Regions from separate parts of the Mus musculus genome. Here region 1 is reported to be linked to region 2. The links are microRNA targets in miRTarBase. Many come from high-throughput screens and were not tested one by one. Region 2 holds a microRNA gene; the other region holds the end of a gene's coding sequence.
What was found. The annotated mature microRNA mmu-miR-742-3p reads GAAAGCCACCAUGCUGGGUAAA and lies in region 2 at 2,781-2,802, shown strand. An mRNA with a match to its seed (bases 2 to 7 or 8) in the 3' UTR can be bound and repressed. Matches are read on the target gene's strand: a 7mer-m8 pairs with bases 2 to 8, a 7mer-A1 pairs with bases 2 to 7 and ends in A, and an 8mer does both.

Region 1: the mRNA of B3glct is a reported target of mmu-miR-742-3p. Seed matches in the 3' UTR shown: 8mer at 3,698-3,705.

What each region holds. Positions count from the first base shown.
Region 1 is chr5:149,758,850-149,763,918 of GRCm38, reverse strand. B3glct (beta-3-glucosyltransferase) reads right to left here. Exons shown (of 15, transcript NM_001081204.2): 15 at 1,320-4,480. The coding sequence ends at 4,313. All of the region lies in intron 1 of Gm36141 (predicted gene, 36141), which reads left to right. It overlaps Gm38587 (a long non-coding RNA gene), which reads right to left and starts at 737. Exons shown (of 3, transcript XR_001785033.1): 1 at 299-737.
Region 2 is chrX:66,778,104-66,783,177 of GRCm38, reverse strand. Mir742 (microRNA 742) reads left to right here and starts at 2,741; the gene lies at 2,741-2,805. Mir883a (microRNA 883a) reads left to right here and starts at 2,345; the gene lies at 2,345-2,420. It also overlaps the pseudogene Gm14681.

The sequences.
Region 1 (5,069 bases), not on the chromosome of region 2:
CACTTACAGAAGGTTCTCCTAAGCACTCAGAGACCTGCGAACACAGAGCCATGACTAACATGGCCAGCCCCACCCACTGTCACAGCCAGGGTAGACAGTACTGCTCTCTGCAACAGGCTCCAGAACTTTCCATCATGAAAGCCCAACTCCTCACGCCTCAGGTTTCATCTTCTGTCTCAACCCACCTTCCTTTCTTCAACTATGGACAAGCTCAGAACTCTCTATGTGTGCCTATGTGTGTGTGAGAGACAGGGAGACAGACAGAGACACAGAGAGAGACAGAGAGAGAGATGTTTACCACAGTTGTCTTCAACTTGCACTTGCTCCTCAACCTCTGGGGATGGGTGTGTCCAGTCACATGATTTCCAAGACACTGAATCACACAGTCCCTTCCTCTCCTAATGGACCTCTTGGCAGCTGGAATAGAATGGGACATTTGCTTCTTGAAATACCTCCCCTGGCTGTGACATGCAGCTCACACTCCACACACACACACACACTCCACACACACACTCCTCACACATACTCCTCACACACACTCCACACACACACACACACACACACACACACACACACATACACAGGTTGTCTCTCTCTCCTTCACTTTCTCCCCAGTTCATCCTACCCACTCCTGAGAGGGTGGACCCTTTCAAATGCTCATGATTCAGCTGGAACTGAATATATAGCTGAATTTATAGCTCAGGGCTCAAGACCACTGGCTGCTCCTCCATGGCACCTGAGTTCAGTTCCCAGCACCCACAGCAGGTACTCCTAGCTCCAGGAGATCTGACACCTTGGGCCTTCATGAGCACAACACTCACACACACACACACACATCTACATAGAACTCAGAGATAGTAAGCTTTTGAAACACTCATGATTTTCAATATTGAACCTCTGGCTGCCCTGAAGCCCAGACTTCGTATCCAGCTGCTTGCTGGCCATCATCTGAACTTCACAATGACGGCTGAGGAACACTCTCTACTCCCTTTCATGTTGGGGACCTGCACCCTGGCCAGTCCCTCTGGACTATAAAACCCTCCATAGCCACTAGTGAAATTTCAGCTTCCTTAATCTTCCAACTCTTCGTCCTAATACTCTCTTCTCACACAGACCTCCTCTCTAACTGCTCCCTGCAAAGAAGCCTCTAAACTGGACCCAACCAAGTCCTGGCTTTTTGTTAAAGTACCTTATTCCTGATCATTCCCCTCCCCTCCCCTCCCCTCCCCTCCCCTCCCCTCCCCTCCCCTCCCCTCCCCTCCCCTCCCCTCCCATGCTTGGAGTATCATGCCTTTAAAGAGACAACAGAAGCCAAAGCATACCAGAAACAAATCCTTTATTTTATTCTATAGAAAGGAGGAGAACACATTTTGCAGGTGACTTGTTTAGAGGGCTTGAGGACATAAACAATTTAAATAGCACCTTTTCAGGCCTGTCATTCAAAGACAGCAGGAACAAAGCCCCTTTGTAAGTCTGCTATAGTGTACTTAATGGTACATTGATTGCTTTTTTTTTTCTTCCACAAAAATGACACATCTACGAAGGAACGGGAGGCACCACAAATATTCTTACAAATGTCTACTGTGTGGTGAATCTCTGAGGTTCTCTATACACATCAATAACCATGATAGATGCAACGTACTAAATGTCGTCGATCAATCAGGACACGCAGTGAACACTGGCATCTAACACGGCCCTGCGTAGCATTGTTTGTAACTCTGGCTGCTGAGCGATTACGGTCCCAAGCATTCAACAAAGGTTATTTTTGTGTCTCGACTTCTGATTTAGCTGTAAGATGTAAAAATTCTACAGGCAGGCGATGTGCTGGGTCATGAGAAATGGCTTAAAAGTAAAAATGACCTATCAGGTAATTCTATACATAAATCCTTGGTGCTAAATCCTTAGGATAAAAATATCTACTGGCAAAGAAATCCTTACTTAAAGGGAAAAAGAATACCAAAGAGGGAGGGATGTGCCCTGAAGAATCCAGGCTCAAAATTAAGGTTTTTTGTTTTGTTTTGTTTTTTCTTTTTTTTTAAGATATCAATTCTCAGTTGGTGTTCAAATAGAGCCTGCCATTTGCTATGTATAAAACATAACACGTGGTTCTTTTAAAACTGTTTTTTTTTCTTTGCTTTTTCCTAAGATGTTTAGTTTTCATTGACTGTCTTAGTAATCTGCCAGTGTTCCCAATTTCTCAGCGCCTGTCCAGCATGCTCCTACCCACCCCACATCTAGCCTCAACCAATAGACAAAATGCAAGGTCAGAAGTAAGCTGAAGACATTGTATTCATGATGAGACTTCTGTAGCTCCAAAAGGGAAACATAGTTAACCACATATCTAGAAATACCAGCAGGATCCTGGAGGGAGGGGGGAGGGGGAGGGGAAGGAGGAGGGGGAAAGAGGGCACAGGTCATAACAGAGAAAAAAGATTGAACATTCTTCATTCCTCAGATGCGCTAGCTTTTGTCCTACCAAATGAAACTTCCTCTGTTCTCTGGTTGGTAACATTTCAGGAGCAGAGATGGGAGGGGTGGACTGAGGAATTCCCTGAGCGGCACTGGTGTAGCAACCAGGTCCCCCCGGGGTATCCCTGCAAGGTCAAGAAGGTAAGTACCATGATAGCAATGGTCACAATGGTGGCATTCATCATTGCCGTGTCAGCAATGATGCTACAGCCATCTGCAGGACACCCAGAAGCCATTATGGTCCCTTTCATGCACTTGACTGTCCTCAGTTCAGTTTCTAGCTGAACCACAGAATCAGTTTTCATAGTCTGTGTTCCACCAGAAACCAGAAGTAGTGGGCCACACACCAATCCTGGTGCTTATTAATTTGGGAAAAGGATGATAAACACTACTGCATGAATTTGGACATGAGTCAGAAGTAAGCTACATAGGAATATACATTGTTAAAAAGTAATCACATAGGTATTGCTGATGGAGTGGCTTTAAAGGCTATAAGGGCTTAGGAGCCTTATAAGTAAGGTTAATGAAGTACAGATTGAAAAAAAGGAAAGGATTCTAACATACAACCTTAGGAACTTGAGAGCAAATCATGTGCAAAGACATTTATATAACAAAATCATCATCTTACTTTAAACATTAACACACAGTACTCTTTTTTTATATATATTAACGCTGAATTGTTAAATTAGGACATAATAAAAGGTGTCACTGGAAAACGAGGGTTGCTTTAAAGCATGTTGTTCAGATTTCATTCTTTTAAAACCCAGAGAAATTGCTGATCTCCATGCTGTCCTCTCACAAGGGGCCATGCTGATGCTGCCAGGACGGAGGCAGTCTAGCCTGAGCCAGAGCCAGAAGCGAGTTACTATGTAACACCCAGGGAACAGCAGGAGTAACAGGCCAGCTCCAGATGCAGCTCACATTACCAGACCCCCCCACGCCCACTGCTGACACAGAAGAGACCTGTCAACCTAGCATCCTAATTTCCGGTGACACTCTGTCCACTCTATTGGGGGCGGAGGGCTTTGGGGAGGCTGGCAGGGAGCAGAGCCTTCACCAGATGGCCTTGAGTCTGTTTTGGGGGTGCAACCAGCAGAATAGGGGAAAAAGCAACCGTGATTGTATAGTTGGGGGTATTCATATTGAGTTTTAGGTTTTACCAATCAGCCTCAGTATTTCATTCCTACTGAGTGCCTGGGAACCAATTTCCATCAACAATAGAGCCATTTAAAGCCATGGTTCTCAACCTTCCTTAGGCAGTGGTCCTTTAATACAGTAGTTCCTTCATGCTGAGGTGACCTACAACCATAAAACTATTTCCTTGCTACTTCATAACTGTAATTTTTCTACAATTACGAATTGCAATGTAAGTACCTAATATGTAGGATTCCTGACATAGGACCAACTGCCACTCCTAGGGGGTCTCGACCCACAGGTTGAGAACCATTGGTTTAAAGGCTCATTCCTTTGGCAATATCCATGTTTAAAGATTCAATGTTTATGTGGGATGATAGCCAGTCATATTCTTGTATTGGCGTCCCTGTTACAATGGAGAAAACAGAAAAGGACTTTAGGTACCATTTATTTCCTCTGACAGTCAAAAAGCTCTTGATTTACAGCCCACGGTGGGCTAAAATAGGCACAATAATTGCCGTGTTACAATTACGACATCTATGAAAACAAGCGATTTTTCCCAGTTTCCCTTATGAGTCTACCGATACAGAAAATATCCTATTTCCACAAGGACTGGGAAGTGTCCATTTCACACAGCATACACGAGCAGCTGGACCACAGCTCAACAGACAGGGTGAATCTCTTGTATCCGTGTGTCCCAGACTCTGTTCTATAATTCTTCTCTTGGGTCCTTCTGTGTCTCCTGCGTGGCTTGGTCTTCCTCACTGGGTGCCAGCCACGTGAGGTACACCTTTACCGGGTCAATGTGCCAGTGTTTGTGAAATGATACTGGAATCTGATGGGCGAGGTAGTCCTTGGGGTAATCTACTGGCCGAGCCTGCTCAAAAAAAAAAAAAAAAAAAAAAGCAAAAAACAAACAAAAAAAACCACCGAGTTAGGATTTCCCAGGTTACGGTTTTCTGATTAAGAATGATCGGCTCATTCCTCCTGCAGATGGGGACAGAGACAACTGCACAAGGCAGAAGGACCACCAAATCTCTACCTCGGGGCTCAAAGAGTCTGCAGAAAGGGGATAGAGAGATTCTAGGAGACTGTGGGAACCGAAGACAACATGGAAACAAAGCCTTCTATACCCAGCAGGACTGACGCACTTAGATGAACTCATGGAGCATGCGCAGGGCCTGCACACGTCTAAGCTGGATGGGGTCCCAGCGCTGAGAGAGGAAGTAGACACAAGGTCCTATCCCTAGCCCAGAAGTTATCTTCAACTGATAACTGCTCAAAAAGGAAGAATTAGTTTCCTCTAAAGGAGTCTTTCTGGGTATGCAAGGGCAGGTTCTATGTTCATCAGTAGATGGCCAACACAAAATGAACTCATTGCTATTTTTAGATGGCTCTGTGTGTGTGTGTGTGTGTGTGTGTGTGTGTGTGTGTGTGTAGGGGGTTGTTTTGTTTTGCTTTTTTTT
Region 2 (5,074 bases):
ACACATGGTGGGAAAACTGCCCCTGCATGTGTGCAGACTATGTTTACCACTTAGAACACAGCTGTCAGTGCCATCTTATAATGGCAAATGTGAGGGCGGCTCCTCACACAAGGTGAAGTTTTGCTTCTAGCACAGTCTCTACAAAGATTGATTTATAGATAAATAATACTTAAATTTGGTCTTATCATGTTTTTTATTTATATCTCATGTTGCCTCCCTTACAGTCCCTCTTCCATTGCCCCTCATCCAGGCTCATCAAGTCTGCATAATTAGGATAATCCTCTCCTACAGAGGCAGGACAAGGCTGACCTCTGCTACATATGTGCCAGGGGTCTTTGTCCAACCGATGTATGCTCATTGGTTGGTGAAAAAGTCTCCAGTAGCTTCCAGTGGTCCAGGTTAGTAGACATATTTGGTTTTCCTATGGTGTTCCTGTTGCCTTCAGGCCCTTCAGTCCTTTCCCCAACTTGTCCATAAGTCGTCTGAAACCTCTGTTCAATGTTTGGTTGTGGGACTCTACATCTATTCACTTAGCTTCTGGTTGGAACTTCTCAAGGCATAACAGAGTTTGCAAGCATAACAGAGTATCATTAATAATGTCAGAGATTGGTGTTTTTTCATTTGATGGATCTCACTTTGGACGAGTTATTGGTTGGCCATTCCTTCAGTCTCTGATCTATCTTTGTCCCTGCATTTCTTTTAGACAGGACAAATTTTGAGATTCCATCTTACACAAATCAGCATAGCTAAGATAAAAAACTGATGCAACAGCAGATGCTGGCAAGGATGTGGAGAAGAAAGAAGAACATTCCTCCATTGCTGGTGGGATTGCAATCTTGAAGACCCATTCTGGAAATCAATCTGGTGTTTTTTCAAAAAAATTGTAAATAGTTCTACCTGAAGATTCAGCAATACTGCAACCCAGATATTCTTCACCTGAAGAATAGATAGAGAAAATGTATTTCATTTACACAGTGGAATACTACTCAGCTATTAAGAGGGAGGACATCCTGAGTTTTGCAGTCAAATGGATGGAACTAGAAAATATCCTGAGTGAGATAACCCAGACAGAAAAGAACATGCATGGTATGTACATACTTATACCCATGACATACGCCCACAGACCCTAAGAAGTTAAACAAGAAGGAAGGCCCAATTGAAGATGCTTGAATCACACTTAAAAAGGGTAACAGAACTGTCATGGGAGGCAGAGGGAGCAATGTGGGTATGTGAGGGGGATATGTTTGCAGGATCAGGTGTGGGAAGGGAAAAGAAAGAGGCCCATAGGCCCAGGAGAATGAATGGAAATCTCTATCTTGCAGGGGACTTACGGGTGGAGGTAATCTCTAAGCAGACCCTGAGACCTAGGATAGGGAAGGCTCCCAGGAGCCATTGTGTGTGACCTTAGCTGAGATGCCTAACAATGTGGACATGGAACCTGAAGAGGCCACCTCCTATAAACAGGCAGGACCTCCTGTGAAAGATAAGGACACGAACCCACCCATAAAACTTTTGACCTAAAATCCACATTTTTTAAATTATATTTTTATTAATCCTTTACAATTTCATATTCACTTTGGTCATAATTATAATTAAGTTTGATAAAAGAATATGTTTTGTTGTGATCATCATTTCTCTTTAAGTTAGGGTAGTGACAGGTTTTTATGTGAAATGTACATGCAAAATCAATTGGATTTTCAATATCATCAGCTTAAGTGTGAAATCAAACATTTACAGACACAGTTTAGTGGGGGTGTGTTTAATTGTGAAGATTGTGATAAAAGCTGTTGGATGAAATTGTTGTTGTTGAGATGAAGTACAAAGGATCAGTCTATGCTATCTCAAAGTACAGATTAATACATACTGAAGCCTTCATTTGATATATTCTCTTGATGCTGATGACTAAATCATTGCAGGTATCTTGAGGTCTTGCCTTGTTCATTTGTTATTCTTTGGTGTCACCTGACCTATATATTTATAAGAATATTTGTCTTGTTAATTCTATTTTTGTTTTGTTTTGTTTTGTTTTTTTGAGACAGGGTTTCTCTGTTGACCAGGCTGGCCTTAAACGAACTCAGAAATCCGCCTGCCTCTGCCTTCCGAGTGATGGGATTCACGCCCGGCTATGACTTGTTAATTCTTAACCTCTTGAATTCATACAGATTCGAGGAGTATCAAGAAAGAAGCAAGTCTGATACCTTGAAATGGAGATGGAAGATAATGGAAAATATGATTATACTTCCTGAGGAATTATGTGTAAAGAAATAACATTGCATTCATGTCATACTGAGAAGAATCATGAAAGTTGTTTTTGAAGTCAGCTGATAATAATAATAATTCGTGTGCACTATAATGCTGAGAGAAGTAGCAGTTACTTTATTCTATAAGTAACTGCAACAGCTCTCAGTATTGTAAGGCTCAACAAACGCAGGGATGGTAGCCATATGGTCATATTATGCCTTCATAGAGAAGATAAATGTACTGATTCTGGATTATACTTCATCCATCTTCATGATATCTTCAGATCTATAACCATAGAGAAGAGAACGGTTGTAGAACTTTAGAAGTATACTAAGAAAAATCCTAATGGTGGAACATGAGAAGACAGCTTCGAAGAAGAATGTGTGGTTAAAAAAAAAAAGTAATTATTGTTGACGACTTACTTCAATGTTCTATTCAATTTTATTTCACATGTTGAAATAAAGACTTCAGATGGGCTGGTTCTAGAGTACCTGGGCAGTGCTCTACTCACATGGTTGCTAATCACGTGAAGTGTAGGTGAAAGCCACCATGCTGGGTAAAGTAAAGCTCATCATGTTCTTCATTTGTTGTGGCCTTGGGTAGTAAAGATGAAGAAACTATACATCCTTATTATGGCTCCAGAATCTGCTTCCTTGTACCTGAAGAAACTATGCTCTCATTTTTTTTTTAAGTTTAAATGTTGTGGAAGTTAGCATTATTCTAGCTTGCACAGAACCCAAATTATACAAATTATAAGAACAGAAAATTGCATGCCAGTCTCAATAGGGATCATGAATATAAATATCAGAAATAAAACCAATCAATGATTTCAGGCCCAACTGAATATCAATTCAAATATCTTGTGACAACTTAGATGATGAGTGCACGAAAGTGGACTGAAAAGCTACAAGTAATTAGAGTCTTCCTTTATAAATATGGCCCTAAGTGAAAAAGAACCAAACAGATTTAAATTCAAGTCACTGAAATTATGATGGTATCAGTGATTTGAATTTAAATAGACCAAGTTCCTATCTTCTGTATTCTGTAACTTTCTCCAGTAATTGAACAGCGATATACAGGTACAATTGTGTTGTATTCTCATCCTATGCTCCCAATATTCTGATTCTTTTAGAAGATTTTCATTACCTAGTTTTTAAAAGTCATTTGCAAAGTATATCACTGATTAATCTTAAAGTCACACTGGCTATCTGGCTATAGGTCAAGAGGTCTTCCTTTATCATGCAAGGTGACAAAGTATATTTTGTATTCCCAAACAGTTGAAAATAAATAAATCAATGTTAATATGTCATGCTGTAATTGGTGAAGTGATGAAAACTGCTTGGGATGATTAGCCTACATGGATGATACCTCCATATCTTCATGCTTTATGTTATATCTCACTCAAGAAGCTGTTAGACAGTTGGACTACCGACAAATCTTCCAGGTAAAGTACTGCTCTTTAATTCAGTTATTTTTGATAGGTTCTAGGTAGTATTAGTGCTTTCCATGTAAGATCACTGATAATGGTTTTCAGGATGATCACAAAGCCTTACTATACAATTGTGTGTATCTTTTTAATCACTTTCATGGGACAGCATTCAAGCATCTATGTTAGGTAAGGAAAAGGAGAACAAGGTGCTAAAATTAAGAATTATGCTTTCATAAAAAGAAAATGAGGTACACTGTGTTAATGAAAGACTAAACACAGAAACGGTTTGAGTCTTTGTTGCCCCATATCCTTACTTTTTCAACATAGTGTAGACTATCCATGTTTCACCTCATGGGTACTTTCAAAATAGAGAATGTAAAGAAAGAAGATAATCTAAAGAAAAAAAAAATAATTTCCTTCCCAGTAATTAAATAAAGTTAAAGGACTTTTATCTCTCTGATCCAGAAGTGGTAGAGATAGAAAGTGAAGGAGAGTATATATATTCCCTAAGAACTTGAGTTAAGGACTCCTGAAACTTCTTGGTAATGCAAGAGTCAGATGAGATGATATGTCTCCATTCATTTTGGTGTGTGCATTGTGATATAGGACAGATACCAGTCACTTTCTACTAACCTCTCTCAATATAAGGATACAGAAAAAAGTAAAACTTGATGAAGATGATGAGGACGATGATGAGGATGATGAGGATGATGATGATGATGATTTTGATGAAGAGGAAACTGAAGAAAAGGTCCCAGTGAAGAAATCTGTACGAGATACCCCAGCCAAAAATGCACAAAAATCAAACCAAAATGGAAAAGACTTAAAACCGTCAACACCGAGATCAAAGGGTCAAGAGTCCTTCAAAAAACAGGAAAAGACTCCTAAAACACCAAAAGGACCTAGTTCTGTAGAAGACATTAAGGCAAAAATGCAAGCAAGTATAGAAAAAGGCGGTTCTCTTCCCAAAGTGGAAGCCAAGTTCATTAATTATGTGAAGAATTGTTTCCGGATGACTGACCAGGAGGCTATTCAAGATCTCTGGCAGTGGAGGAAGTCTCTTTAAGAAAAGGGTTTAAACAGTTTAAACAGTTTGGGGTATCTCTCTCAATATAAGGATACTCATAAAGTACTGTCATTGTAAATGTAAGAACATAGATGCACATGCAAGAGTATTTTCTGATTCTAAGATCGATTGTAGCTACCTTCACAGGACATTGTTTAGGTGAAGATATAGGGGGAACCTTTCATCTAATTCCTATTTCTCATAGGTGAAAATATTTAAAATTAGGGACATAGCACTATGGAAAATAAGTTTAGTTTCATTTTAATTTTTAAGTGCTTTTTAAATTAAAATATTTTATAATTCTCCCCTTTCGTTTCTTCCCTTCAGCCACTCTAATC